Struthio camelus: one gene and its partners. The protein of the gene in region 3 purifies or fractionates together with the protein of the main gene of each other region. This does not show direct contact. Links are inferred from orthologs where the notes say so. Each region holds a gene or a part of one and is shown on either strand. Other genes may lie near its edges. The genes, in order: HP1BP3, LTV1, LARP7 and KPNA3.

What was found.
Region 1: the proteins of LARP7 (region 3) and HP1BP3 purify together in Homo sapiens (affinity purification with mass spectrometry; 3 studies listed by BioGRID and IntAct, with this or other methods). This does not show direct contact. The link is inferred for Struthio camelus from reciprocal best matches to the Homo sapiens genes LARP7 and HP1BP3.
Region 2: the proteins of LARP7 (region 3) and LTV1 purify together in Homo sapiens (affinity purification with mass spectrometry; 3 studies listed by BioGRID and IntAct, with this or other methods). This does not show direct contact. The link is inferred for Struthio camelus from reciprocal best matches to the Homo sapiens genes LARP7 and LTV1.
Region 4: the proteins of LARP7 (region 3) and KPNA3 purify together in Homo sapiens (affinity purification with mass spectrometry; 3 studies listed by BioGRID and IntAct, with this or other methods). This does not show direct contact. The link is inferred for Struthio camelus from reciprocal best matches to the Homo sapiens genes LARP7 and KPNA3.

What each region holds. Positions count from the first base shown.
Region 1 is NC_090962.1:9,085,303-9,092,840, reverse strand, and holds the start of HP1BP3 (heterochromatin protein 1-binding protein 3), read right to left. Parts: upstream 3,010-7,538; 5' UTR 2,902-3,009; intron 2,511-2,901; exon of another isoform or gene 2,373-2,510; intron 1-2,372. UniProt on the Homo sapiens protein: Component of heterochromatin that maintains heterochromatin integrity during G1/S progression and regulates the duration of G1 phase to critically influence cell proliferative capacity.
Region 2 is NC_090944.1:77,174,024-77,181,847, reverse strand, and holds the start of LTV1 (protein LTV1 homolog), read right to left. Parts: upstream 3,007-7,824; 5' UTR 2,359-3,006; coding exon 2,356-2,358; intron 922-2,355; coding exon 790-921; intron 1-789. UniProt on the Homo sapiens protein: Essential for ribosome biogenesis.
Region 3 is NC_090945.1:23,239,619-23,247,262, forward strand, and holds the start of LARP7 (la-related protein 7), read right to left. Parts: upstream 3,019-7,644; 5' UTR 2,820-3,018; intron 2,725-2,819; exon of another isoform or gene 2,570-2,724; intron 1-2,569. Other genes in the region: 5'-3' DNA helicase ZGRF1, read left to right, coding at 4,701-4,721, 4,834-4,914, 5,030-5,086, 5,349-5,534, 5,900-7,644. UniProt on the Homo sapiens protein: RNA-binding protein that specifically binds distinct small nuclear RNA (snRNAs) and regulates their processing and function.
Region 4 is NC_090942.1:192,846,288-192,853,319, forward strand, and holds the start of KPNA3 (importin subunit alpha-4), read right to left. Parts: upstream 3,013-7,032; 5' UTR 2,122-3,012; coding exon 2,041-2,121; intron 1-2,040. UniProt on the Homo sapiens protein: Functions in nuclear protein import as an adapter protein for nuclear receptor KPNB1. Binds specifically and directly to substrates containing either a simple or bipartite NLS motif.

The DNA of each region.
Region 1 (7,538 bases), on a different chromosome or scaffold from region 3:
TTAATTGCAGAATCCAATATTACAAATTCTGACAAACCACTGACACTTGAATGTAAGTTTTAAGCCATGAACATTGCACACTGGGGTTAAGAACCTTTATCAGCAACACCCTTCTTGCATAGATGGTTTAAATTTGAAAGCACTATTAACCCTTCTCCCAAACTATTCCTAATTCACTCATCTCTGATTATTTTATAGTACAAGACTACACAAAATAAAACCTATGATTTCCTTGTACTCTGTATAAAATCTACTCACACTTCATATTAGAGTCCATTAACGTAAAGCTTCTTTTATTCTCTCTTATGGAAGGTTAAAATCCTCAGAACACCCTGGCTGACTTGTAACAAAATACTGACAAAAGCTCAAACATCAGTTTCTATTGAAAGAGAAAACGCAAGAGACAAAGATATTCTGGAGACAAAATTAATCCAAGCAGCTAGTACTCAAGGAAAAGTGCATGAAACTGAAAAATTAAGTAATTAGGGGGCACACTCATTTAAAGAGGAGAACGGCTGCAAAAGTCAGTAGATATTTTCAAGGCGTATTCAGTAAGTTCTTTCCCCCCACCACAGATCTGATGTGTATTCTTCCCCAACCCGTCCCTGACCTCCCAGGGCTTCCCACTTTATCCACCAATCTCTTTAAATCCCTCTTGAGGAAGGTAAGTGCTCTCCTGTACCGTCCATTAACACATCTCCTCCGTTCTTTAAATTGAGCAGAAGGGATGCTAATCAGCAAGCCCTTCCTCTTCTCTCATTCCCCCTATGCACACTGTCCCCACGCGTAGGAGCTTGATAGCATGGGATTGTTTATAAACATTAGTACTTTCAAACCGTTGCCGCTGCAATAAAATAGCTGCTTGCCAAAGATTGTTAGCCAACTATTTTGCTGAAGATGCTTAAAATACAATTTATGGTATTAAAAAAAAACAAAAACAAAACATGCACGGAAACCAGAGAGTAGCTATTATTCAAAAAAAGACTGATAAGAACTGAAAAGTTGCATGCTTGTTAACCCAAAAAACAATTTAGCAGGCAAGCAAGACTCCTGAAAAAAGGAACCTGTGAAATACCAAAGACAGAAGCAAGCTGCCAGCCTCTGCTATACTTTAAAAGGAGCGAACACGCCCACAAGCACAAGATTAGCTAACTTTTCTTTTCCTCTAGCAGAGGCTGAGCAGTCCCCCAAGATTTGCAGACACCTGTGACTAGGAAAGGAGCCACAGGCAGGAAGGAGTTGCTGTGAATTGTGTCCCCAGTCGGGAGCTGTCCTCAGGCAGTATAAGCTGGTGGAGCCCTCAGACCTGGAAAGAGCCACATCAGTTTATATTGGCTGAGAATTTGGTCCACTGCTTCTCTCTCCCATCTCGAGTCTTTGTAGGGTTTCAGCCAGAAAATGCAGTCCAGGGTGGCAATAAGGATAGCGAACCCAGAATGAATGCGCTCTGAAACAACCCAGCCTCTCTTGAGTCCAGAATTTATAGCTTTCTGTACAGAGAAGCACACACAAGAAAGGGAGGGGGGATAATTAGCTTCTTTAACGAGGTTGTGACCAGGGAGAAACCCAGAGGCGCCTGCTCTCTCCCAGTTTAGGCCAGTGTCTAGCTCTCAAGGCACAGAGAGGGATTAGGAGCTTCCTTGCGGAAGGGCTGCACGCTCAAGCCTCAGGGAGAGGAGAGGGCGTTTTCTTGAGTGTGGTGCCACTTCTCTGGACTGCGGTGAAGTGAGTTCGAGGAGGAAAAAAAAAAAAGCAACAACAACGGCGAGTACACAGCTGCTGGAGTCGGGGCACTTCCTCGGTTCGCGCCGAACCGGTCAACAGCGAGTGTTTCATCGCTTCGCGCCCGCCTCAGCGCTTGCCGCCGCCGGCGGCTGTTTACCAGGTGTCAGCAGCGGGGAAGGGGCCGGGCACCTCCCTTTGTGCCAGCAGCGAGGCGCTGCGGGCGCCCACCCGCGCCGAGAGGGCCGCGGGCCGGACCCCGGCCCTGCTCCCCGCGGCGCACACCGGCGCCCGGGGCGGCTCAGCCTCGCCTGCGGGCCCAGCCCGGCGCGGCCCGTGACGGGAGACGAGCCCCGCAGGGCGGAGCAGGCCGCGCGGGGCCCCTCGCCTCACCCGCCGCCTATCGCGACAGCCCACGACAGCGTCCCCCTCCCTCCCCGCCCCACGCGCGGTCTGTCACAACGCGGGGGGAGGGGCGGCGCCGAGGGGTGTTTCCCGGTGGCCCCGCCAGGCCGCCCCCGCTCCTCACACACACATACACACACGCAGCCCCCCCCCCCCCCCCCCGCCGCGGCGGCCTAGCGGGCCCGGCCCCCCCCTCCCCGCCGGCCCGGGAGCGCGGCGCCGCGGGGCGGGCGGGGGTCACTCACCAGCAGGCCCAGCGGACACAAAGCGGCCCCTCTAATGGCGGCGGCGGAGGGGGAACCGGCGGGGGAGGGGCGGGGGGGCCGGGGCAAAGGGGCGGGGGGCGGGGCCGCGCGGCGGCCAGGGGTGTGGCCGCGGCGGGCGGGGGGGGTGGGGGGCGGGGCCCGCCGGCGCCGCCGGCCAATGGCGGCCAGCGGGCATTTTTCGAACACCGCCCCCCCTCTCTCCCCCTCTCGCCGGCCGCGTCCACGTCCCGCGTGCGGGCCGGCGGCCAATCGCGGCCGCGGGGCGGGGGGGGGGTGACGAGTGGGGGAGGGAGAGGCGCGCGCAGGCGCCGCGGTGGCGCATGCGCGGCGCCCTCCGCTTCCGCCCGCTCCGCGCGGCGCCGCCCCTGGCCGCCAAACAAAACGCGGCGCGGCGCGGGGCGGGCTGAGGGGGGCGCTCGAGGCTCCGCGCGCGCGCGCCGGGGCGGGGGGAAGAGGGCGGGCGGGTCACGCGCGCGCTCTCTTCCCCCCCCCCACCTCTGCGACCCACCTCAGCGCGCGCGCGGCGGGCGGGGCGCGAGAGCTGCTGCGCGGCCGTTAACGGCTCCCTCCGGCGCGCACTGCGCGCGCGCGCGGCGCCAACCGCTCCCCCCCCTCCGGCGGCCGTTGGCCACGCCCTGAGGCGTTACCCCTGGAGCCTACTGAGGGCACCAGCGTGCCTCTCCTCCTCGCCCCGGCCGCACACAACCCTAAGGGGGCAGCGCGCCCTTGAGCAACCTCACTGCAGCGTCGTGTCTTTGCCTCTTGCCTCTCGCTTCACCATCCTCCCGCCGCTTGCAGCTCGGCCGGCACTTGCCTTTGCTTGGCCTGAGCCTCTTTTTTTTCCCCCTGACGCTCTCACCGTGTGATTTACAGTGGCGGGCTGCGTTTCCCCCCCCCCCGAAATCCCTCTGTTGCCCCTTTGCTTGCGTTTAAAGGATAACTCGCAAATTCCCTTCTCTACCTGTGCTTTTAAGGGGGGGCTGTAAGGTTTAAAGTCCCGCGGCAACGTCGCGCCGGGGCTGTTGCGCATTCCTCAGCTTTCTGCCACCCTTCCCCGCTTCGATGGCGGCCGTAGCAGCGCGCTACCAGAGCGCCTGGCGGCGTCCCCCTCCCAGAGCCGCGCTGCTGCGCCCGAGGCCTGGCCCCAGCCTGCGCCTGCTCCCCCAGGCCCGGTTTAGCCCGCTCTGAACGCTTTGTTTTCCTCCGGGCCCCTCGAACAGCCCTGGCAGCGCCGTGGCCAGATGGCTCCGCTTTTGCTAAACATTCCTCCGGTTCTCGCCAGGGCGAAATAACGACCACGCAGCTGCAGGAAAAACGCGCGCCGTGGCCTCTTGCCCCCCCCTCCTCGCGGTGCCTCTCCGGCAGGAGGGGCGAGGACAGCGAGCGGGAACGCGCTCCTTCCTACTTTTGATAAGGATTAAGCACTTTGGCTACCGTTCCTGCCTTCCCAAGTGCCGTGCAGTAGTAGGACTCCAACCAGCCCGTGCAAATTTTTTTTTTTTTTTCCTTAAAATCATTTGATTCGATTGCATCTTTCCGCGGCCCTGAAGCTTCGACGTATGAGCCTGGGGCTTTCGTTTCTGGAAGGGTTTTTCTTGCCTGTGCAGTGCAACTTGCAGTCTAAACCAGGTCATTCAGATGTACTGCTGCCGCGAAGAGCGCGCATCAGTAAAACGTAGCCTGTCAAGAGCCTGAACAGGATTTCCGCCCCCATCGCCTGAGAGCGCTTTCCAGAGCAAAGCAGCGAGCGTGCTTCTGTTAGAAACATTCACACTTTGGTGTGAATTACCGGTTGTACTTCTGTTGCAAATACGTCTGACTACAAACTCCATTTCAAGGCTCACGAGACGCTCCGTTAACTTTCTTACCCTGTGCCAACTAATAGTTTTTGCCCGTTATGCCACAATTTTTGTTTAACGTGAACGTTTCTTGCTTCACGAGCGCTGCCCCTGAGTTACTTAGCGTTACCTGCCACATAGCGTACAAGTTATGGCTTTAGCTATTATGTTTTTAACGCAAGACTACTATCACTTTGACTGATAATTCATTGCGTCTCAGGGCCTCCCGTGCTGCGCGCGTTGTACGTGGAAAGCGGCTCATACGGTCTTGCTCTGGCTGGCCAAGTGAGCACGGGCTCTTTGTTGCCAGCTTCTGCTTTAATGCTTGTCTGCAGCTCCCGACTTCAGTTCTGATTATATTTAGGCCTTGCCTCCGGTGTCGTCACCCTACCTTGGCAAGTTTTTTTTTAGTTTCCCCTTTTTTACCCTCAACTTTCCCACTTGTTTCATGAAGCCTTTTATAAATTAGAAACTTTTTGGCATGCCGTTGGCCTGGCTCGGGGAGAACGCAAGCCTTTTTCCGTTTCCTCCCGGGGCTGATCACAACCAGGCTTGGGGTGGGGTTGGGGGGGGGGGGGGGGGAAGCGTCTTCCAGTTGCCTCCCTCTTTCATCCCTAAAGCTTCACATCCTGCTGCTTATCCACCTCGGCTGCTCTGCCTTTAAGCGTCCGTTCGGCTGACTTGCTGAACAACTTACGCTCCTCTGGTAATTCATATTTAACCTTTTCAGCTGCAGAGTCCTACTGTGATCCCTGTCTTTCTTACAACTCTGTGCAAAAAGCACTCCATTTCTGGCTCCAACTCAGAATGCATCTTCCCTGCTGCTCTGTGGCCTCCCGTGTATCATCTTTGATCTCCTTATTCTTTAACAGCCTCCTAATACATTTTCTCAGGACTTTTCCCATGGACTGGGCTGCTTCCCACTGTAGCCCTACCCTGCCTCCCAGCTGCTCCTCTCCTGCTGCCTCTCTAACTGCTACCCATTAAGGCTCTAGTTAGCTTCTCTTTTCAAAACGTTACCCCTTTCCAAAGGGCTTGCTGTTAATCTGTGCATTTCCAACCCCCCCCCAACCCAATTTTATATTAGTTCTCAGCAGATGAATAAAAATATGCTTAAATAGACTTAAGTTGACCCTATGAGTGACAGAAATGTACCTACCACTGGGAGTGACAGAAAGAGCAGTAAGAAGGGGGTTTACATATTTATTTCCAAGGCTGCCGAGGGCACAGTAATGCTTTGCTCTAGTGAAAGATTTAGGGGGCTTTTAGGCAGCAGAGGAGGCATTCACCTCCCCTCTCTACAGCCCAGTGCAGACCTCTCCATCAGAGCTTGTCACCCGGCCTTCCTCCCAGGCCACCAGAAGCAAACAGGCACGCCTCTTCTGACGTGACGTGGCCGGGAGAGCGCCCCACAACTGACTGTTTCACGTCTCTGCTAGAAAGGAAGTCTACTTCCAAGCTCATCATCTCAAGTCAGGCGGGACGAATCCCACCTCTGCTCCCTCTCAAGTGAATCCAGAAACCTCTCCGGTGGAAGCAGCCTTGCAGGGTGGAGAACAGGATGGAGGAAAGCGTTGCCTATCCAAAGTAGCCTCTGCAGGTTGCTGCTTTTCTGGAGATGCTCAAATCCAAAACAGATCCTTACTGCCTTCGTAATGAGGCAGCTACTCTCGTCACTGGGAGGCCAGTGGCTGAGGCCTGTAATTTTTCTAGAGGGGATAAACACTTTTGGCATTAAAGCAGTGACTTATTTTACACAAAGCAGGCAAGTGAAAACGACAGCTCCCCTAAGCTGAGCAGGGGTCAAAGTCTACCAGCTCCGCGTTTCACCCTGGGAGATCACACCTCTTCCAAAGCTGTGTGTCCCCACAGTTAATATCTGGCAGCAGGAACACTTGTGTTTTGTTAAATTCCTTTGCTCTCTGAGCCAAATGCTATTTCAAGTTAAAATTGGTTAGCAGCAGGCTGCGGCACAAAACACGCAGTGCCTGTTCCCCTCACCCAGGCAGGTAATAACTTACTGTCAGTAACGCCTCCTGACTGGCACGCTTTAACAGCCACAAAAGCTCATTTTTGGCTGCCAGGCGTGCACAGCATGTCCCTGCCATCCGCAGCATGCACAGTGCATGCAGCAGCCTGGCTGGACTCTGGCCTCCGGGCGGAAAGCAGCGCTGGTTTCTCGCCGATCCTGCAGCCGTAGCAGAGTAAAGCCGTGCCAGCAAGCCTTGCTGCGAAGACAGAAGATCTTTGGGTTGAAAAGGAATTTAAAGCATTCTTGGCGTTGGCTCTTCCTTGAGGCGTACAGTCAACCCTAGCGTTAGCTTGCTGGTCTCTCCATGGGGAATTGTGTCAAGCGGCTTTTCTTCGAGATGCATCAGCCACGGCCCAGGTTCCTCAGAGAGCATCGCAACTTCCACAGCTAGCAAGAAGGGCAACTGCTGGCCGTTCCCCTCTGATCGCTTCAAAGGCCTCTGCCCTAAAGCACCTTGGGAACACACGACTACTCAACAGTGGGTCAAAACAAACATCCGCTTGACCCAAGCCCTGTCTCTAACAGGGAAAAACAGTTGTCTCCTTGGAGGAAAGGATGGTAACACACGCGACTGCCCTGTTCTGCAGAGAAGGTGTGTGAAGCTCCTTCTCTTTCCTGGTCGCAGTACCCGAAAGAAGCGTCTCTTTCCAGCCAATCCCAAGGCAGGCACGTACGCTGCACAAACCAGCAGTCAGGATCAGGACGGGCTCTGCTGGCCTGCTGTTATGTTTTGCTTTTGGGGCAGATCACTGAAAGGATGGAAAATTATTTCTGTCCTGAACACCCAAAGCAGGGCTGTCCGGTAGGAGAACAAAGCTGTGAGCTGTGCCCATCGCCATAAATTAAAGGAGCTGTGGTGCTGCAACCGTGCAGAGCGCGCAAGAGGCTGAGAGCCCATTCCCTTCCCAGGCCAGCGGGTTTTGAGGAATTACGCCGTTTCCCAGCACATTTAGATTGCTCACAAGCAAACGGGAGGTGGCCTGGGCTGATGGATTATTCACTTAAGGCCATCTTTAATGGCAGGACAGAGCATTTCCACTGGACGTTATTTCAGAACAGCTTATTCAGCAACACCGAAACTACCAATTTTCCCTCCTGCTCCAGACGGTACCAACTGCATCAGCTGAGATGATCTTTTCAGCTGCCTTCCTGCTCTTCTCTGCAACGCTGAGTGAAGATAAAACACTTCTAACAGGGCTCCGCTCCATGCTAGGTAGCGCTGTGTAGCCTGCGAGCTCAGTAAAACTCTGCTTCATGACACTATCTGCTGTTAAC
Region 2 (7,824 bases), on a different chromosome or scaffold from region 3:
GTCCCTACAGTCCTCTCTCCACACATCATCCTAACACACAACCAACTAGAATGTTGAAACCGCTTAGTAAAGCGTTTAGACGCTGTCTGAGCAGGAATTTAAGCAACTTTTTTCATAAGCAGCACAATTGACAAAGCCTGTTTTTTCAGGGTGGGTGAGATGATTTTTTGTTGTGGTTGTTTTTAATATATTTGTATCCCTACTGCCAATTAGCCATCCCTCCATCCATTAGGCAGTAATTCACAACTATCAAATCCCCTACAACGTCCCCTTTTTCTGTCCCAGTTATACCTTCCCACAATCTCGCATGGCCTTCCTTTTAATAATCTTTGCTCCTATTTCTCTGTTGTCTCCTATTTCACTACCCACTTCCACATTCCCAGAGTACAAAAGCTTGTTCAGAAGTGTATGTTAACTGGCTAGCAAAAAGAACAGAGAGATGTTCTATCTCTATCCATCTTCAGAGTTTTAGCTCTCCACACAACTGATTTTTCTGAAAGCTTTGTAACAAAACACTTTCAGAACTTCTGCTCCTCTCTCAGGATGCTTCTGAACCATTTCAAAGATGCGTATAGTATATACAGGGAGACCAAATACACAAACAGGTCAGAAAGATAATATTCACGTTTCACCTCCTTAGGGTATCAGGCAAAAATTACAAACAAGTTACAGCTGAACACCGGCATTTAACCATCTTCTCTCATGTACTTCAACTGTAAGACTCCATACCCATCTTTCTCCAGTGCAGCATTTCCTATCCGAACCTCAATAGTAAAAGCAAGTATTTACTTTCTGCGCAGGCAGCAGAACTCTCTGGGGTGCAGTATCATCAGCAGCAAGTGGATCCCTCTGACTTCTGTGCACTAAGTGAAATGTTACAGCTTTCTTCTTCTCTATGAAGGGCTTCTTCCTCCTGTGAGGCTGCAAAAAACATTTGGTTATGTTAATCGTTAATAAAAAACAAAATATAAAATGCATCCAAAAAGGATCTTTTGCCTGAAACATGCTCTATTAACATAAAGTCTTAAAACGTATACTTAGAGACAAAGCAAGAGACTAGCTGTATTTCGCTCAACTCTTCCGCCCACACGCAGAAGAGCATGAAGTTACTTCATGTGTTCCAATAGCACATGCAACCGTATTCAGCTGTAAAACGGCAATATACGAATATGAAACAAGTATTTGATTATGGCACATACTTAAAAAATCCCTTTGCAGGACTGTATGCTAAGATGTAACTGCTTTCTAAACACTGGGGCATATCTGAAACAAACTTCATCACAGAAACACAGGAAACCGATAGGCGCAAATTCATCTAGACAAACACAGCCTCTTGCAAATTGTTCAGATAGATGTTTCAATGCAATTTCTACGTATTCACCATCGACCCCAACAATTATCAACTACACCACTATGCAGATGTAACCTGAACACCACAAATACATTCACGTTCTGGATCAACAAAAATCTGCAGTTTTCTTACGTGGGTAAAAGCCCCTCCTACAAGTCAGCACATCTAACTGAAAGAAATACTTTTATCAAAATTTATAGCTTTGTTTACCTACTAGCATGTATTGATAGAAAATATATGTAACCTGAAGACTATCTTACTGATGTAACCTAATCTTCTTTTAACATATAAAACCTTACACACCATTTAACATCAAGGTCCTGAGCATATCAACTGCCAAAACGTATCTCTAGTTAAAGAAAAATATCCTATATCTTAAAATCTTAGGATAATCATAAAATGAGATGTAATCAGCTCTGGGAAGCAGACAACATATTACCCCTACGAACAAACTTTCTGCTGACTGGTGATACAAGTGAAGTGCTTATAAAACACTGACGTTGCAGGACATCAAGCAGGAAAACTAGACACCACCTCTTAATATTGGCCTATGGCAAACCCAGAAATCATTCCAGGAGCATGTGCTCGCCTCGTGCAGGCCTCAACCATTCCTAGGCAGGCGGCACAGGCCGCGGCACGCTGCCCCCTCCACCCCCGCCCACCTCCTCTTCAACACCACTCCGGGGGCCGCCGCACCCGCCCCTCCCGCAGGTCCGGAGCTCCGGGGCGCCCTGAACCCTTACAGGGCCGAGGAAAAAGCTTCCGCACAGCCCAGCCCAGCCCAGCAAGTGAGACGGTTCACCAGGCCTCCAAACCCCCAATTTCAACCCAAAACCATTGGGGGGGGAGGGGGTGAAAGTGGGGTAAGGGAGAGTGGGTGACGGTTACCGGCTGCAGGCGCCCTCTTCTGCCCCCCCCCCCCATCAGGGACAGGCAGCGCCCGGCTCCCCGCCGCAGGGGCGACCGACACAAGCCCCCCCTCCCCCGCAACGGCTGCAGCTCACCATGGCGCGAGGGCGGCCGGCGCTGCCCGCCGGCGGTGCTGGGCGCTGCTACCACACGGCCCGGCCGGGAACCGCCGCGGCGTCACCACGGCCGCGGCTGCCGCCTCCGCGTTGGGATAAAGCAGGGACCATGGGGGGAGGGGGGGGTAAGCCGACAGGCTGCCACGCCGGGCGGGTTGTTTTTTCGCAATCACGAGAACAGCAGGAGTTTTCTCGGGCTAAATAACTTTCAGAGTGAAAAAGAGGCTTTCTGAACGCGCAGAAGGAGCTCCTCCGCATCCGCGTTTTCTTCCCTCTCCCCCTCCCCAATTTGTGGAGAATGGTTCCGCCCGCCAGGGGACCGCAACGGCGGAACGCTTCGGTCGGGCCAAAGGGCAAGGTGCGTGCGCAGCCGCCGACCCCGCGCACCGGAAGGGGGAGGGCGGGGGGGCGGAGCTAGCTGGCAGGGAGGCGCGTGCCCCCCTCCCCGGCGGCGGCGGGGTGGCCGTTAGGGGCGTGGCCGGCGCGGGGCAGGAGGGGGCCGTTTCAGCCGTGTGTGGGGCTCTGCCCCCTGCGTGGCCGCCAGCGGCGGTTCCGTCCCGCCGGTGTCGCCTGGGCTCCTCCGGGGCGTGCGGGGCGGCTGGCACTGCGCTGTCCTGCTGGTCATCTTCTGCTCCGCCCGTCTCCCCCCCAACGGCAATAGCGAATCCTTCCCCCGCCCCCGCCCACGAACAAAATCCCCCGATGAATCCTGTGAAAAGGAGACTGGCTGCTTGGCATACCTGCCCTGTCCACGTGAAGGAGGTGAGAGAACAGAAAGGGTATGAAAAACTGAAGTCATTTCACTCCCGTCACTAAGTGGCGAGCGCTCAGGAACTACCATAAACCTTTATAAAGAAGCTATGTTAAGCAGAAGGCACAGGCAGGACTTGCCTTCCTGCCCAGCAGAAAGGGGGTCTTCAGCTAGCGGTGCTTCAGAGGTCCCTGCCACACAGTTTTCCAGTATTGCTCCAAGCTAGTTTATATTCAGGCCGAATTTGAAGGGTGAGGTGTAAATAAGAGCTATACGTATAATTTATGTATTTATATTATCAGTGTCCTTTCTCCTTATGTCACTAGATAAACTATCTGTGCCATATAGCATGCCCGCGGGCACACTTGTGCACAAACAAGTGCGGGCACAGACGCACACTCCTCGCTACGAAAAAATATGCTTGGCAGTTTAGACATATTAGGTAAAATTGTTTTGTTGCATTTCAGAAGAAATTGTAAGCTACAAAACGGGAGGAATTTCTTCTATGTGTGTATAGGCAATTACAAAAATTAAAAAAAGCTATTGAAAGAATTGTTATTGATATCTAAGAAATAATTATTTTTAAAATAACCGTTCCACATATTATGGTTGTATATCTGAACACCCAAATAAATGTGTATGTATACCTTAAAATAATAATGAGCTTGAATCATGTTTCAGTGAATGTCAGTATTTTTCACTAGGTGTCACTAAAGCTCCAAAAGACTACAGATTTTCGCTTTCCTGCTATTGTTTTCTGAAGTCTTGAAGCTTTAAGATGAGGTTCACCACGTTAATCTCACGGAAATGGATGAGCTAATCTGATCCGCTCCATGAATGACTTCTGTACTCGGGGGATTCAAATTATCCCTGCTTATTTCTGAGAAAAGCCTAGAGACTCCTTTTCTCTTGCGTCTTAAAAATATATGGTGGTCATCTTGTGGCGTTCAGCCACATGAAACTTTGATTCACGCCTCTCAGTCTGGAGGGTTAGCAACCCTTTGGTTGCATGCTATGAATAGATTTTTCAGGATTGCACTGAACAGGACTAACTCCCATCCTATAGTATGTCCATGGTGCAAAACCAGTGATAGAGCTGAGCTAGCTTTTAACTAGGCAACTTGGATAATGGGAGTGGAATAGTCAAACTGTTAAAAACATAGTGCTCAGCATTTCTCTGCCGGGTTACAAAGTAAATTAGTCCTTATTGCTTCCAGGTTCCTGAGCTAACTCTAGTATCCCTGCAGAACGCTGCATGGTGCAAAGTACTCGTCCCTTGACTCGGTAAGAGGATTGCCCCTCGTACTGAGAATTGGACAGCCTCCTACCCAACAGTAACAATACTTTCATACCCTATATTTAAAATCCGGTCTAGGAGTATTGGTCAGCCTGCAAGTTGGAAGAACTAGCTTTTGCTCTTAGCTTCCTTGCTAATCATCTGTTTCATTTGGGGCAAATTAAATTTACCTCTTCAGTGTTTTACAAGTCAAGGTTTTCTGTCTTAACTCATTTCCACACTGTGTCTTTCCTTTTTCGATTCCACGTGTTTAAGGGGAATAACCTTGGCTATATGTTTGCCCTGTGACTACAGGAAGAGGCTCCCTTATCTCAGAAGACTGATTCTGCATCTCAACCGTAATACATCTAGATATTAGTTTTAAAATTGTGAGATTAGCAGTAATAAACATCTTCCTGGTGTTTGATGTACCTCCTTTTTTGATACCTAAGGGTGATTCATCTACTTCCAACTGATGTCTGATCTTTCAAAATTCAGAGTTTAGTATCACCTGCATGTGAAATATGTATGCAGGAGTCTCTCAGATGGAGACTCCACTTAAACTTCTAGTCTCATCTAAGCCCTACAAGGTCATCTGTACTGGTGTACTCTCTCACTGTGTTCTCTGCTGAGATGCCTTGCAGTTTCAAGTCAACAAAGAGCATTTACAGAGGGTGGGGAGAAAAGGGGGTCAGCTCACTAACCACTTCTATTTCGTTTATGGAAGAAGAATGCTCAGTATCAGAATGGTCCCACCGCAGAGGGAGTATACTGTATACACAATAGTATACTGGAGCAATCCACAGAAATTATTTGTACGTTTAGCTGCCTTAATTACCAAATAGATGTTCAGAAGGCATTTGGTTTAAAAGCCAAAGCTTAACATTTATACTTCAATACTAAATAAGCAGGAAAAGAAGGCAAGCTTTTGTTCAAATATATTACTGTTCTTTCCAGAAAAGTGTTTAGTAATGTAGAATAAATGACATATCAATAACCCTAGCTTATGTTGCAATTTAAATTATCCTTGAGTAAATGTAGTAGACTTTCTGGACTTCATTCTCTCTGGATTTACTTCAGTTTAAAAGAGATTAGAATCTGGCCAGGAAGCCTAAATTTCTTTAACATTATCAACAATCTGCCTTCCTTTTGAGGAACCTTATGCTAAATATTTTTGCTATTAGTTCTTGCAATAACAGGAGGTATGGTTGGTTACATAACTACAAAGCGAAAGTTATTGCCAGTTACTTTGTCACGTTAAAAGATGGGCAGACATTCTGCAGACTAGTTCGAACCCTGAGCTGCGCGGATCAGTCTTGTCCATGTAAATGCAGTAGGTGTAATTCTAATTCAGTTCTCATGTCAATCACGTTATTCTGCTGAAGCTAGTGAAAACAACTGCTTGATTTACTAATACAGAACTTGTGAAGTTGGGAGCATAAACTAGGTCTCTGCACTATTGAGCTAGTACACTACGTATTTTTAACCTATCAGCACTTCAACACACCTCTGCATGAATAAGACCACCCCCAAGAGAGCTACTAGGTGTGTGTGAAGGGCTCCCAAGATGAAAAGGAAGGTTTCAGGATCCTTCCTTCATTTCATTTGCATGCAGTGACTTTGAATTCAATCTTTGGAGACCACCTTCCAACAAATAACTGCTCTCTGCAGTTTACTCCATCATACACACCCATGTACTTGCTACAGATTCAAGAAGGAAATGTTTTCTGTAAAGATTTTCTGAACAATTTTATTGAGGTAATTTTCTTCATTTTATATTTGTATATATTCATTCATATCTGTAATTCAAAAAGCTAAACAGTTTTCTAAGGCACTTGGAATTGTGCACAGCAGAGTATCCTACGGTACTGTACAACTAGGCAGTGCACATGTTTTGCTTGTTAAGTAAAAACATAAAACACAAGCATAATGTGTGTACTGCATAAAAAAGATAATGCATGTTCTTTTTCAGATGACAATACTGAAATATACTTGTGTGTGTGTGTGTATAAGTATATACCACAGTGCAGATAGCTGCTTCTTGGGTTTTTATCTCATTAATTTGTAACAATTACTGTAATTTACATTCACAGATATCCTGTGTAGAATGCAGTATCAGATCAGTCGCTTCTTTAAAGTTATCGTATTCAGTCACTCTAAGTCAAGTTACTAAGATACAAGTAGAGGCATTCATTTTATAATTATTATGCAAAATAAACACTGCATAAACTGAAAAGTTGAGGGTATTGATTCCCCAAAGCCTCACATCTTTTGAAAGTCATTTATGCATGTGGAAAGTGAGCTTTATAAACGCCAGCAATTCTAAGCTGGTAACATTTCACCTCCATTTGTTACAGTTATCAGTAACTATCTAGCATGATGGGCAGTGGGGAATCAAGTCATAAGCTTTGTTTACTTTATTTTACTCGTAAATATGAACGTTTATTGAAATTCAAGCAGGATACTTTGAGCACAATTTGTTTCTATTTTTTACCAAATTAATAAAAACGATAAAAGTCCAGGAACTGGCCCAGTGCCTATTGATAGCTGACACTTCATTATATACTGCAAAATAATTCCAATGAATCCAAGTTACAAAGGCAGAAAGACCAAAATTTAATTTCAGGTGACTATGGCCCCAATCCTTCTTTTAACAAATTCAGTGCATAAGCACCTCTTGACTTTACTGCACCCTAATAAAATCCCACTGGAGTTTAAGCACCAGGAACCTGTGGTGGTTGGATCATCAAGCCCTCCTTACTGGAGTCATCTCAGAGGTGTCCTTGCAGACTTGAGTGGGAGGAGTCATGTGCCCAAGGATTCTTAGTACTGAGCACCCATGGTGTATTTCAGCTCTGCCACAGAAAATACATGTTCTTTGAAGTCCAGTGTTTAAGGTACAGTTGGATCTATAAAATACGGCATATTAATACTGCTATGATTTACTGTTAGAGCAATTGTTCTGCACAGACCTGGAAAGGGACACAAACCTATCGGTTCCCAAATGTACAGAAATGTCATCTACAGTGCTCGAATACCTCTCCTACATTTACAATTCTGTTGTAAATTGAATTCAGCTTCTCTTTTAGAAAAAATATCTTAAGAGCTATTTTAATGGTGACAGGTAATTAGAATAGGCCACCTCTGCACCCTTCTTGCCCCTACTCATATATTTAGATGCCCATTCAAACAATCCATTGAGATCTTTTTTTTTAATTTGAAATCATACCAGCTGAAATAATTGTCCAAACCACAGTTTTTCTTTAATTCCAAAATTTATACAAGTTTACAAATTAATATACCACCACACAAAGTCGTGAAAGGAAGAGAAGGTATGTATGTTCAGCAACGTTCTACTGTACTATAACAATGCTCAAATATGGTTAAATTTGACATAGTATTGCAAGACTTTTTATATAAA
Region 3 (7,644 bases):
TAAAGTACTTCATGCATTTTGAGTCACTCAGCCTTGGGACTTCTTTCCCAGGAGACAAGTTCTCATTCGAGCTTAAAGGAAACACAAAAAAAGTTGCAAGCTATATTCTGCTCTTTTTATGGCACTCCCTTTCTGCTACTGTTTCAGGAATGAATCTTTCGGAATGAGATTTTGGAGGCACTTAGAAACGCATCAGAGCAAACGTCAGCTACGAATCCATCTTACAATTTGTGTACAATTTTACATTTAGTAGTGAAATAATCGTATGTGAGAGATCATTGAGTTTAATTCACAATATAAGAAAATATTGTTTACAAATAAGGAAATGCTTTGAGTTCGACTTTTTTTGTTAGCATTCCTTTTCTTCGCAATTACTGGTGCAAATCTCAATTCAGCAATGAAAGCTGCAGCCCAAAGCTATACAACATGCCTGCATTTTCGCTAATTTGCCACCCTTGCAGTTGCAAACACTGTTTTGTTTAACAATAAAAATCAGAAGAAAGCACAAGCAGGGTCAAGATTTCTGCCTATTAGAACAACTACTCTCATTTAGTCTTTCTCATATAAAATAAAATCACATATTCCCTATGCGCAAGACTGAAAGTGGGAAAAGGAGGGCAATTAGGCAGGCTGGCAGGGTAGGTGAGGAAAGGGGGAAATCCAGAAAAACAAAGGACATGTAAATAAAAATAATGCAGGTTCACACAAATCTATAGTGCTTTGTCTAAACACTTTATAGAAGACAAATGGTAACCAAATTGGTGCTATTCTGTATAGAGACAAGTTTCAAACCCCCAACTTCTACTGTTACAAGGACACTAGAAAAGCATAATCAAATGCAACTGTCATCCAGAGTCTGCAAGAAATATAGTCCCAATTGTAAAATATCCAGTTCCCTTGTTTTAAGTATCAATATACATACGCTTGTTTGCTTTTACGATTTTAAGTATCAAGAAACAAGAGTGGCAAGAATCATTCAAAATACTTTTTAGGCTATGAAAATGTTTCCATATAGTGTTTCCTCTTTTAGATACATATGCCAAACTAAAAGTAGATATTCAGCATAATTTAAACTACTTTCAAAGATGCATTTTGTCATCTATGTTGGATATTCTTATTCTAATAGATAAACAGGAAGAGCTGCACTAGTTTGAATTCATACCCTACCTAATAACTTAATTAGGCAGAAAGTGACCTGAGAAAGGACAAAAGTTACATGAAGACTAGCACGCTTTGCTACATAACCTAACAACAGAGAGCCTTCTGCTTTCTTCCGATTTGAACCACGAAACTAGTAGGTAATTTTAAACTGACATTTAAGACATACAAAAGATGTCATAAAATGCTGAGTATGGATCCTAGGACTAGTGTGCTCACAAACAGAAAAGGTTCAGCTTCCACAGGACAGTGATGGCTGTTACGGCTGTCTCCAGACATGGGCAGACCTTACTGTGCCAGGCCTGCCGTGGTCACCGTTTCTCTGTCATCACTAGAGCCTGAAAGGGAGGTTTTGAATAAAATGCAGGCCCACAGCACAAGGCAACTGCAATAACAAGAAAACAGGCACCTCTAGCAAGACATTTAATCAGTGGATCCCAAATAACTCTGCAAACAAAGTCAGTCACATCATCTCCTTTTTTCACAGCTGAAGTAAGTGGACAACCACCAAACTCATCTACTGTCACAACTCCTGTTCCAGAGTCTCATTTTCCCATTCTTCATTGCAATGGCTAGCAAAGGCCATTCTGGGTCATAAGTGCAATAAGCCTAGCTTCAGGTGCAGAATTAAGGAATACAATTAGACTGATTCAGCTGTATGAACCAACAATTCACACTAACACTAAAAGGACAGCCTGGTTCCTGTCTTACTCACTACACAGTCCTCCCTCAGAGTCTGTATCATCCTCTGGGGAGGCAGTTCAGCTCTCTGATCTGAGAAGTTACTATTTTGTAGTCTTACTTCTCTGCTGGGTAAGTGGGTTAGGTCAACTCATTAAAGGACTTAATAAGCAGCACAGATGACGAAGGGAAGCTGCAGGGATGAGCCCTCAGGTACAGCATAGAGAGGTTACAAAAGCAAGACATTCTGCCGCCCTTTTAGTGGCTGCAAACAGACCAGCTCAGAGGCACTACACAACTATAGGGTGAACTTCCTCTTCTCTCCCCTTCAAAGAGGAGAGGCACGATGTACAAGTTTTCCTAGCCCCATTGCAATCTCTGCCACTGAAGCAACTGGCAAAATGACAGTCCCTGAAGAGGCCAACCACTATATGTTTGCCAACTATTTAGGTATTGACCACTGCAGGTTTCAGCCCTGCTACTCAGATTGCTCACCGACCCGCTGCGTCTGCAGGAAGCAAAGGCAGAGGTTAGCCCAGGCGTGACAGACCACTGGATCAGGTTGCCCAGAGAGGTTGTGGAGTCTCCTTCGCTGGAGATATCCAAAACCCGCCTGGATGTGATCCTGGGCAATATGCTCTAGAGGTCCCTGCTTGAGCAGGGGGATTGGACTAGATGATCTCCAGAGGTCCCTTCCAACCTCAACCATTCTGCGATTCTGGGACGGTACCTCAGGGAGACGCATACGCCGCACCCCGGCACGGACGCGACAAGATGGCGCCCCCCGCCGGCCGCCTCCGCCGCAGAGACCCAACGGCCCGCCCGGCACGAGCCGCCCCCTAACGGCCTGCGGCCCCAGGAGCGCCCGCGCATGCGCACGAAGGCGGCGGCGCAGGGAGGGGCGGCAGCGCCCCCTGCCTGCGCCGCCGCAGCGAGAGCGGCCCCCGACGGTCGCCGCCACCGGCCGCCGCGCCACTGACCTGTCGCCGTCACCCGCCGGTGGGGACCCGAAGAGGCCGACTTCGCAGGGGGACACCGGGGCCGCGCCGCGCCGTCCGCGCCCGCCTCTCGCCGCAGCCCCGCCCCCTCCCTCAGCCCTCACCGGCCGTCAGCCCCCGCGCGACGCGCGGCCCCCTGGCAGAGAAAAGCCCCGGGGCGCCGCGCACGCATGCGCAGTGCGGCAGCGGGGGGAGGGCGGCGGCAGCGGCGGCGACGCCTCGCCTCGCTGCGGGCGCGTGATTCGCTCCTCGCGGGCGGGGGAGGGGAGGGGAGGGGGGCCTGTCTCGCTGGCTGTCGGCGTGTAGTGACGTCACGCCGGCAGTGGCGGGAAGCTTTCGAACGCGCGGAGGGAGCGAGCGCCGGGGACAGGTGGGCGGGGGGCTGCGAGGCTCGCGCGACCCCCCGCTCCCGCAAGGGGGCTGTGACGTCAGGTGACGTAGCGTGGCGTGGCCGCCGCCGCGCGCCCGCAGGGAGCGGCTCGGCCGTTGGCGGCGGCGGCGGGGGTCGCTAACGGCCGCGGGGTCGCTAACGGCTGGCGCAAGCTTTGGCGGCGGGGCGGGGGCCTCCCCGGCGCGGGGATGGCGTTGCCCTGGAGCAGGGAGGTCCGTGAGGAGGCAGGCTTTAGTGGAGCACCCGCGTACTGAGGGCAAATGCGTACAGCTGCCCTGACCGTTAGCACGGGGCTTAACCTGTACGACGTGTTAAGAGCGAGCCTTTAGCAAATCTGTATAAACTTAATGCTGGCAGCGTTCGTATTCACTCCCGCTTTTGCTGCTTGCTGTGCTAAATCATAGTAAGTATTCGCATTGTTTTTAATAGCTAGAGGAGGTATTCTGTGTCCCTAGAGAACGTCTCCCTTTCTTCCCTAGGTTTCGTACGTTGCTAAACATCTTTTCTTGTGTTTGCTTCTGAAAAGTGTGTCACTATCCACAGTGCTGATCCGGGGGCTGCCAAGAACGTGACGGCTGTAAGAAACAGCGCCATGAGAAGAAGCATGAATGTGCCTGTGTGTAGCTACTTTATATTAAAGTATTTCTCACTGAGCTGCAGTGTGAGAATAACTGGAAATGTTATGTTATTTCTTGTGATGCGTTTTCATTGCAATGCCATTAATTGATTAAACTAAATAAGGTCTTAAGTGCTGCTCTTTAAGCGCTGGTGTAAATCACAGTACTGATCAAATATTAGCAACCAAAATGTACAGTAAGCCCCAGCTTCTAAAGACAAGTTGCTTTTATAAAGTTTTGTTCCCATTTTCACCATCGGAAGCTACTTTAAAAGTTATTTTGGTCTAGCTTTAAATATGTAAAGAGGCTTGACTTCACGGGCAGCTGATTTTGAAAATCAGTTATCTTGAATGTGAGTTAAGCATGCGTGACCAAGTCAAGTCAATAAACTCTTGACAAAGTTAGTCTGTTAATAATTTCCATATTTTCTTGCTGCAAGTGAACACAATTAGGATAATTTGTAATTTCAAAGTGCTATGTGATCAATGGAGTTTTCAGAGTTGCTAGACATTCATTTAAATTAATTTAAAATGGACGTTGGTGTATATAAATTATTAATTTTTTTTTAACCAACAGACTTTCTGTTAAATTATTTTCAAGGTGTGTCTTTAGAATTCCCACATCACACATGCCTTGAGGTGGAGAGCCAAGGTGTGTGTGGAGTTTTTTTACTTTTTTTTTTTTTTTGCATCTAGCTTTCTACTCTTGAGAAAAAATAAGTGAACTGGCATCTGTTTTTTTCAGTACATTTCCCTTACAACTATGCTGAATTCTGAAAATTTTCCTGTCTCTCAGGCTGTATGAAGGTATGAATATTTGCAGAATAAGCTGTTGGACGAACGTTGTGCCAAAACAATGGCTTCTCAAGAGTTTACTGTAAGTCTTTTTTTTTACACTGTAGGCCAGTGAGTAAAAAAGTCAATATCGATGTAGCTGCTGTATTATTTAAACATTTTCTTACTTATCACTATTTCAACATTTAAATCAGGTACTATACACTCACCAAAAAATGAAAAAATCAAAAACATGGCAAGATGGAATTCTGAGGATTAGAACTGGAGGAAATAAGGTGAACAAATTTAATACAATTTGATATCATCTGCTGCTGTTTGACTATCAGTGCCATGTAGTAGATCTGTGAAATAAAATTCATTATTTAAAATAACGATTTCTTTTCATTGTAGGCAATCTTGTTTGATGATAAAGGACAATGTTTGGAGAGTTTGTTTATAAAATCTCAGGTATATTTTGTTTTGGATTTTTTTTATTTGTATGCTTATGATTGTGGTTTGTGTTGCAGGAAGCCTTCCAAACCCTTGTTTGTTTGGTAATTAAGGTAGTACTTTTTCTCTCTAGCGATATGGCTGATAGTTTCTTATTTCTTATGAGTGAAAAATATTACGTTTTTGACTCTTATGTGCAAGTATCACAACATTTAGAGGGAATTGTTTGTGTTTCTTACGCAGCACTATTGTGTACCCACTGCTGCCTTATCTTTCCTAGGTGAATGCTGGAGATAATTTAGAAAGTGAACGCTATTTGATCACAGTTGAAGCAGTAAAACTGAATGAAAAATCTTCTGAAGATCAGCCAAGGAAAGCAGAAACTCCAGCAGTGAATAGAAATGGCGTAAAGCCTGGTGGTCTGCCTCCAAGACACCTGCCTGTTGGGTTGAAAAGGAAGTTTACAGTATGTCTTTGTTTCAAAGGTTGTCTGACATTAACATGCATTTTAAAACACCAAGGGCACATTTTTAAATGAATGATGAATATACAGATAATGTCTTCCTGCTTTTTTTTGGAACTGTAAATCAGAATATGTTACTGGAAGCTCTTTTTTCGTAGTTTATTAAATCTTTCTTGGGTTTAGCAGAATTGCTGTTGCTAGGGGTACAGTGAAAGTCACAAGGGTTTGAGATTATTTCTGTACGTGTATGGAATCATTGTGATATTTGGTCAGAATATGGTTTATGAAGCATGTCCTGTTTTCATCTTTTAGATTACAAAATGTGAGGTTGATTTCTGAGTAGAATTAATTTTAAACTTTTCTCTTAGGGTTTCCAAGGGCCACGTCAAGTTGAAAAGAAAATATCAGCAAAGGAAGATGAAGAAAAAGCAACATTATTGCCTTTATCTAAGCAGTGTCAGAGTTCCTTGCCATCTAAGTTTTATATCACCTCTCCCTTATTTTCTACTGTTTGCAAGAAGGATGCAGACACAAATGTATCCACCAGCTTTCATGAAAATGTGTATACAAACAATGATAAAGAACATGTGTCCTTCACCTCACTGGTTTCAGCTCCATTTCTTGAGACGTATAAAGAGACAGAGAAGAGTAACTCTGATCAGTCCATTGTGAAGCCAGAATATCCTCTAATTAGTGAGCACACCAAGGCAACCAGTCGTGTGGCGGTGTCGCAGAACATCAGGAGCACAGCACAGATAATTGCTCTTTTGAAGTCTAAACCAGCCCACCTATGCACAGAGCAAACAATTTCTGAAGTCACGGAATGCCATTCTAAGTTTCAGACCTCAGAAAATATAGATAGTTTCTATAACCAGAAGAGTACAACCCCACCTGGCTTTTCAGGCAACCCCGGCAAAGGTTTTACTCAAAATATTCAGCACCAACATTCTACAAAGGAAACTGGAAGTGATGAAAGGGAATGGAATGCTGAAATGCTTCTAAATTCAGCTGAACAAGCTTGTGATAAAGAAGTTGCGGGACAAAGACGTGACAGAAAGGCAAATATCTTAAGTCAAGATTTACAAGACCCCTGCAATACAAAGACTTTGCACCCTGAAAAAATGTGTGTCTGTATGAATTTAACAGACAGCAAAAGGCAATGCATTTGGGATTGTGAAAGATGTCGAGAACCCTCATTCTCTAGAAGTGATGGGGTACCTAAACCATTATCGATTAACAAATGTGCTGCTAGTGACCATCCAAATAGTTGCTTCCTATCTGAATCTAGCATAAGTAAAATGAGCAACAGTCAATGTGTCCCATCCTTAAGTGATATTTCTTATTCAGCAAGTCCAGCTGAGTCCATCGTCCTTGAAACAAATCTCTCCACATGCAGAGAGCGTTCAGTGACTAATGGTCTTAAAGAGGATTCATCTTCAAAGTCACAAAATGAACTCCAGCTGAGACGAAATTCAGAAACAGTGTCCAGTGACTTGGAGCTCTCTGCGGACGTAGCATTGACTGGTCATGTAGTTGTGAAAGAGGAATTAAGTACACATGGCAGAGACAGTGGTCCAGAAGAAGAGGTGATGGAGGTGAATTTCAATTTATTAGAGGCTTTTGATTTTAATGACACAGACAATAGAGAGCTGTGTGAAAGAGATGTGAAAGAGCTTGGTGAAGGAGACATGCTTTCACAAGGTCCAGTTTGCTTAAAGGGAAAAGACGCAGCACAAACTGTTGAGCTGAGACTTCGTTCTTGCTGTGAAGTAACACCACACAGTAAAAAGGAAGAAGTCAGAGGTTTAACGTTTGACAGAGGGAATGATGGAAATCACTGTCCAGGAGGTGTACCGTTGCCGCTTTGTGACAGCGGCATTGGCGATATTGGGAGAACTGCGGAAGACTTTGTAAGCCCCGCCAGAATTGAAATGGAACTTTTGGATGATATAAACAAAATAAAACAGATTAATGAAAGTCAATTAAATATTGAAGCCAAGACCCATAAAAAGGATCTCAACGACTGTGCAGCACATACTGTTAATGACAGGTTGTCGATAAACAGTCAGGGCTCTGATGTTTTGCCTGGTGGCACAAATGTTAATGAAGGTCA
Region 4 (7,032 bases), on a different chromosome or scaffold from region 3:
CAACCCCTTCTCAAAGCATGGATGCAAGTTTTAGTTCCATTAATGTTAATGTGGTTATCCACCAGGCAAACAGTTTCAGGGCTGAACTACAAAAGGAAGTCAATCAGCCTGGCTACTGTAAGATAACCCTATAGGATATATTCTCCATAATTGCAAATACACTATTCCAAAATAATTACTTCGTTTCAGGAGCAAGCGTTCTACTGAGAGCTAAGGCACCTTAGCTGGTCTGGTATAACCAATGCCAGTAAAGCTCAGGCGGTCAACTCCCCTCTTCCTCCCATACAGGCAGACATTTAATTCCCCTAGTCGTGGGCATGCTATAATATAAGCAAGTATGGATGACAGATCAGTTCACACTAGGCATGAACATACCTAACCTTTCCCTGTTTAGAGCTCTGATGGATTCAGGCCAGCGCCTGAGAAAGCAGCAACAAAGCCAACAACGAAGACGAGGAGATGAGACAAGGACAAAATGAATGAGGAGTAGCAGGAAGAGTCTTGCTGGATGAGAAGGGAAAAAAGAAACCTACCATGTCTCCTCCCCCTCCTTCCCTAAACTGAAGGATGGTCAATTTTTAGTTACTTTCAAATAATTACTACTGTTAGCCAAAAGTGCTTAAGTTATCACGCTCCTTACACACAAGGTCTTCTGTGAGAAAGAATCACTGTCATCAAGTTAAACAGAAATTGAGATAAAGATTAGTTTACATTGTGAATGTCATCCTAAAGACACTGCTGCTAAGCCTGACCTGCATGAAACTGTCTCCACCCAAACAATGGCAGCAGAGGTGTGATTTATGCTTAAATACAAAACATGCTTTCAAAGGACTAAAATTCCAGCAACATCGATTGTAAAAGTATAGTCAAGTGATAATATCACAATATATCAGCAGAAGGAAGGAAAAGCAGTCTCAGGAGGAAAGAAAGTAATTTTACATATATTTAGGCTCTCCTGCTAGTGAATCCTAATTCGACTTCAACCCTAGTCTGGCTTCAGGGCCCCCTTCCTTTCTTATTACAGAAACTTAAAGGCTTAAGATTTGGGATTTCCTTCCTTTTCCGTTGTGACTTAAAAATCGAAGATGTCCCTAGTAATGGCATATAGATCCCCAAGACTGTAAGAAGCCCTCCAGGGAATAAGCGAGCGGCCTTTTCACCACCCAGACTCTCTCAAACTCGGGGGAAGCAAACTAACACTCCATTAGCCTGAGAGCCCCACGCTCTTTCCCGATGTAGATGGAGACGCCCAGCAGGTGATTCCTTGTGTACCTAGAACCATAAAAATATATATGTGTATGCGTGTGTGTGCGTGTATATATGAAACACAAAAAAAGGTGGTTTAAGCTAGAGCAGGGAGCAAAATCGGCGGGCCCAGGTCGCCGCAGAGAGGTCCATGGAGGGGGGGGCGGGGGAGCGGCCCCTGCGGTCTCCCCCTGGCCCTTAGCAGCCGGCGTAGGCCTCCATGTGCAGCGGCGCGCAGGCGGACGGGCCGCCGCTGCCCGGCGTGCGAGCTCCGCCTCGGGCGGAAGGGCTACGACCCGCCGTGGGGGGGGGGGAGCGGCACAAAAGGCAGCCGGCACCATTGTGCAGCCCCGAGCGCACCGGGCAGGGCGGCGGAGGGCAGGGGCCGGCAGGGAGGCAGATGGAAGGGGAGGGTGGGGGGGAAGGTGCCGGCGAGGAGGGGCGGATCGGCGGATCCCGGCGGCGCAGGGCCCGCCGCGGCCTTCCCCGCCGCCCCCCCCCGCCTCAGCCGGGTGGAGGGGGCGCGGCCGAGCCGGGCCGGGCCGGGCCGGGCCGCTCGGCCGCCTCACGCCGCGGGCCCCGCACACCGCCGGGGCCGCGCTAACCCTCCCCCCCCGCCGGCCGCGCCCGCATGACGGAGGAGAAAAAACCCCGCGGGCCTCCTGCCCGCCGCCGCCGCTGCCCGCCGAGCGCCGCCAGGCCCGGCCCGGCCCGGCCCCTCCTCTCGCACCCGCCTGCCCGCGGCGGAGGAGGCGGAGGCCGGGCCGGCCGGGCCCCACCGGGCCCCGCGCCTACCTCCACGTCGCGGCCCTTGTTCTTGAAGCTCTTGATGCGGTGGTTCTCCAGGCCGGCGGCGGCGGCGGCGTTCTCGGCCATGGCGGCGGCGGCGGCTCCCAGCTCCTGCGAGGCGGCTCCGGCGGCGGCAGCGGCTCGCGCGAGGGGAGGGGAGGGGAAGGGAGGGGGGCGGGGGAAGCGGGACGCTCCGTGACGAGCCCGAAGGGGAAGGAAAGCGGAGGGGGGGGGGGGGAAACGCGTGCGGGAGCGCGCGCGCGCGCGCGGCGTTGCCAAGTGACCGCGCACGTGACGCGCTCAGAGCGACGGGCGGGCTCCGCCAGTGGCGGCGCGGGCTCTTCTCTCGCCCCGCCCCCTTCCCTCTCTCCCTCGGCGTAACTGCCAGCGCCGTGCCCTCGGCTGGGGACTGCGCTGCCCAGCATGCACTGCGGCCCCGGCCCGCACGCGCCAAGAGACGCGGCCCGGCGGCGGCGGCGGCGGCCCGCGCGTTGCATTCCGGGAGTCGTAGTCTTCGCGGCGTGGTGCGGGCGGGAGCGCACCCTGCAGGGCGGGAGGAGCGGCCGCGGCCTGGGCCTGGGCCTGGGCCTGGGCCTGGGCCTGGGGGTTCAGCAGTAAATACGGGGAGACTCGGGGAGACGTTGAGGCTCCCAGCGCGGGGAGAGCCTGCCGGCATGGCGGCGGTGGAGATGCGCAGCCTCTCCGCGGTGGGAGAGGGCCCCGCTTACCCCAGGGCGGTCGCGGGCTCGGGCTGCACCCCAAATCTCCCGGCAAGGCCCTGCCACCCGGGCTGCCGCGCGCGAGCGAGCGGTGGCTCCGCTCCCCGAAGGCGCCACGCGGTTACCTGCCTCCTGTGGTTCGGTGCCTGGTTCGCAAACCCGGCTTTGGGTTGTTCTTCCAGCTGCGGTTATATCAGAGGTCACCTGCGGCGGCCTCTTCCGTCCTAAACCACAGCGCCAAAGTTGCCGTGTTTGGTCTGGGGAAAGCACTGCGAAACAAGCATTTGGCGAATCAGAGGTCTTGGGAAGCCCTCGATCTACTTTAGCTCACGTGCTGAGCCGTACCTGGAAATTAAATCCAATGTAATCCAGTGCTTTCCAGACACGTCGCTTGTACGAGGCATGCACAGCGCGGCTGTGCGTATCCTGGAGGTGTCACACTTGCTGTAACGTAGAATACAAACGGTCTAGGCCAGTCCGACCGATTGTCCCCGCATCATGAAAAATTGCTAGAAATCCCCAGCTCGATTATGCAACTGTGACAGTAGGCCTATGGATACACTGCAAATAGATTCAGGATTTCCAGATCTGCAAATGCCTGGGTACAGCAGGTTTCTGCATATGTTCAACCTACAATACCTTAAAATTGCACTCAGTATTTCCAGAGTGGAAAAGAGGACGCACTGAGGTGATGTAATTCTAGACACCGGTAACCAGTGATCAAACATCTTCTGTAAAGCCAGGTCTTACTCCTTTGGAAGAAAAGCGTCCAAGGAAACCAAAATCTAAAAATAATAAAACCCTGTAACATTCATATCTAGCTCACCTTATATCACATCAGGTCCTGCAATAGACCTTTGGAACCATATACAAGCTCTTCATAGACCCTCTCTTTCTCCTTCAGAGTCCCTTCCTTCAATCAACAGCTTGGCCTTTTAATTGCTTTCCCCCGTCCCCTCTTGCATCATTCAAATGACTTTAACTTGTAACTTCTAGTTCTAGCAAAATAAGGCTTGCAGCCTGTTGGAAACAAGCAAAATCTGGAAAACAACTGCTCTTCCTCACTGTCGTTCAGCTGTGTGCCAAATGTTCTCCTGTGAGGAATCACTCTAGCACTTGAGTCCCTCTTGGATCCAAGCAGCCTGGGCTCCAGATAAACATTTCTCCATGCATTTCCCCCGTTGCTTTGCCTGGGTGTGCTGTGCTGTTATTGCTAGCTGTGGCAGCGAAGAAGGAGCCCAGAGCATGCAAAGCGCAAACGCCACGACTAATGTGACCGTATTTATCAAGACTGCTAATGTCAGAGATGATAGCTTCTAGGTTCTAGCACTTTTTCTTTTGAAGGAAAATTGGACCCAGCTGTCCGGCTGTCTTCAAAAGAGTCACTAAAGCAGATTCAGTAGCTGAGAACTTTGTTTTACCAGCCAAGGAAGGTGGTGGCAGCTGCCAGCTGTGGCTTATGCAGAACCGCTAGGACATCAGCGCAATACCGCTTTGAACCCTGCCAGATGGGTGTTACAGCCATCCTGTGGAGGAGCCGCACACCATTACCACGAACAAAGGAGCTTTGTTCAAATCCATTCAGTGTGATATATGAGGTAGAACAGAAAACTTAATGAATAAAAAATAGAATGTCACCAATCTGAGACAACTCAATTTACATGAAGCTGTATCCATTGCGCTCAGTAAGATATATAGATACAGTGGTGGTCGTGTCTTTTCTTGTCTGTTTCTTCTTACCCATGATATAGGCTTTTCAGAGTTTCTGTAGCACATTTGATTGGTCTTGGTAGACACTTCATAACTGAATGCCTTTTAGACAGAGCTACATGGCAGTTTGATTAGTGTTACTGTCTGAATAAAGCTTCTTGGTGGAATTCTTGACTAGATAATTTAACTTGCATGCGCTCAGAGAGAACACATTTTGATGCAGTGCCCTGAATACTGCTTTTTGGCACTGTAATAGCCACTGCTAAAATATAAGGAGCAAATACTTCGCTACTTTGAAAACTGAATGAACTATGTAGTTCAGTGCGGCCATTCTTCCTCACCACATGAGCTTCATATTGACGTGTTCCTGTGGACAAGATCTGCAAGCCTCGACCCATCCCCGTCCCCACAGTGGCACCTGATACCTAGGGCTGGGGCTACCCCAGCTGCTCCCACTGCTGAAGTGAGTTGATCTGTGTTTGTTTCTGGAATGACCTGTTGACTTCAGCAGAAAAACATGACTAATAAGGTGATATTACCTTGTTTTGGGAACCACAGAGGAACAGCTCAGGAGCCTGCCTGCAGCTACAGCGTCGACACCCCTGAGGTCACTGGTCACTCGCTCATATGCGCTCAATGATTGTGTCAACACCTGCCAGTCGATACAGCTGCAAGAAAACCAGCATATAAGAGAACTGTAATGCTCCTGAGTAATACTCTTTCTAAAGCAGCTCCGTGTCGGGGGGCTATCAAGTATGCATTAATAAAAGGACCTGCAAGAAGGATCAGGCAGATTTAGATGCAGCGATTTAAGATGCTACCAAGTATCAGCTCTGTCTGGCTGGTGCATGTTACAGGGGGAGGCAGGGGGGCAAATAGGACATGTGCCATCTCCTCAGCCTCCCTGTTCACAACCATGAGGAGCTGAAGCTGAGACATGTGCGGTGAAGGAGGTGCAGGTGCCCTCTGCTGCAAGAGGAGTGGGGAAGCTAGTGAGATGCTGTTTTCTTAACCCACTGCAGCTGGACTGGCTGCAGACTATCTGTCAAAACCAGGGTCTATAAAAACACGTAACTTCCAGTTACAAAAAGATGCAAGGAACACTACTTTAAGTCAACCTAAGTCATTCATCAGTCTCACCTCTTGCTTGTCCTTCTCCAAATGGGAGGCCTACGTGTCTCTGGCTTGTATCATACTATCACAGGCAGAGCAGAGTGGGAGGAAGCTTTTCTGTACAAGATTTGCCACTGTTCACACAGTCTCTTACTCCCAACAGACGGTTAACTTTTGGGCCTAGCTTTCCCCATCTATTAGAGCAAGATTGGCAGATGCTTGTATAGCATGTATCCCCACATTACTTTTAGCTCTCTGGCAGCTGGCTGAACTGCGTCTCGTTGGGTGTTGCCCTCTGAAGAAAAGGGATGTCTCTTTCTGTAGGGATGAGTAACGCATAAGGTAAACTAAGGCAAAGTCACCTGCAAACAAAGCCTTTGGTACTCAGTTTGTCTTTACAACGTATCACTTCAGTAAGACTATTGCTGCATGTTGCTTACATTAGCTATACAGAAAGGCTACTTTGTGTCACAGAAGTCAAAAATTGTCTTCCTAGGAAAAGACTTATGTTCTTACCACACCGTAACTAGAGTTTAGTAATGAACGTGACAAGTAAATAAATAAATAAATAAATAGTAAATAAATCCTGGTAAAGACTCAAGCTTTGTCAAAGGCTGCTGTCCAATACCATGGCTGCTGGAAGGTAGTCTGCGCTCAAGGAGAGACAAGACAGGTCTACCAAGGAGAAACCCATGGAAAGTTGTTGTATAGAAAAAGCCACATCCAGGTCAGGAAATCTCTAATCTGAAAATAGTTGGAAGCTGGGAAAGTGTTGGGGGAACCATCATACTTATTCCTATCCTTATACTTTTCCCACGGTATCTGCTGGTGACTGTTGGCGACGCAAATGAGATGGTCTGACCTGGCATGGTCCTGTATTATTTGCAGACAAGGGACAGAAGCATTCAGGGACAAGGTGGCTTGTCTGCTACTATTTCCAGAAGCTGTATGATGTTTTTAGTGAAGGAGGAACTGTAAAACCTCTGGATATTCACAGCTCCCATGTTCAATCTAAGAGACTCTCTTTGTCCCCACTTTGACCAGGAGGAGGACTAGGGGAAGCTCTTCGCAGGTGAGAATTTCGCTTTCCTCCACCACTATTCTCACAAGCAACTCCAGAGTAAGTACAAGCCAGTTTCTCATCTTCTATTTGCTAGGATCAGGGAGCAGCAAGGACTGCTCTGTAAGGGAAGGCCAACTGGATCCAAGGGCAGGCATGGGGCAACAGCTTCAGAGACAAGGGCACAGTACCACAGTACTCCAACAAGAAGAGCAGAGCTGCTCTGGCGATGGTAACCAGGATCAGACAGGAGCTCACCAGGCACGTCACAGATCAAGCCAGTGGGTTAGGGCCCGGGTCTGGATCAGTGAGGTACACAGGCAGGAATGGGCATAGCTGCGATGTAGCTAAGGCAGAGAGCAAGGACAGCAAGCAGCTCCTGAGAGGAGGGGAGCA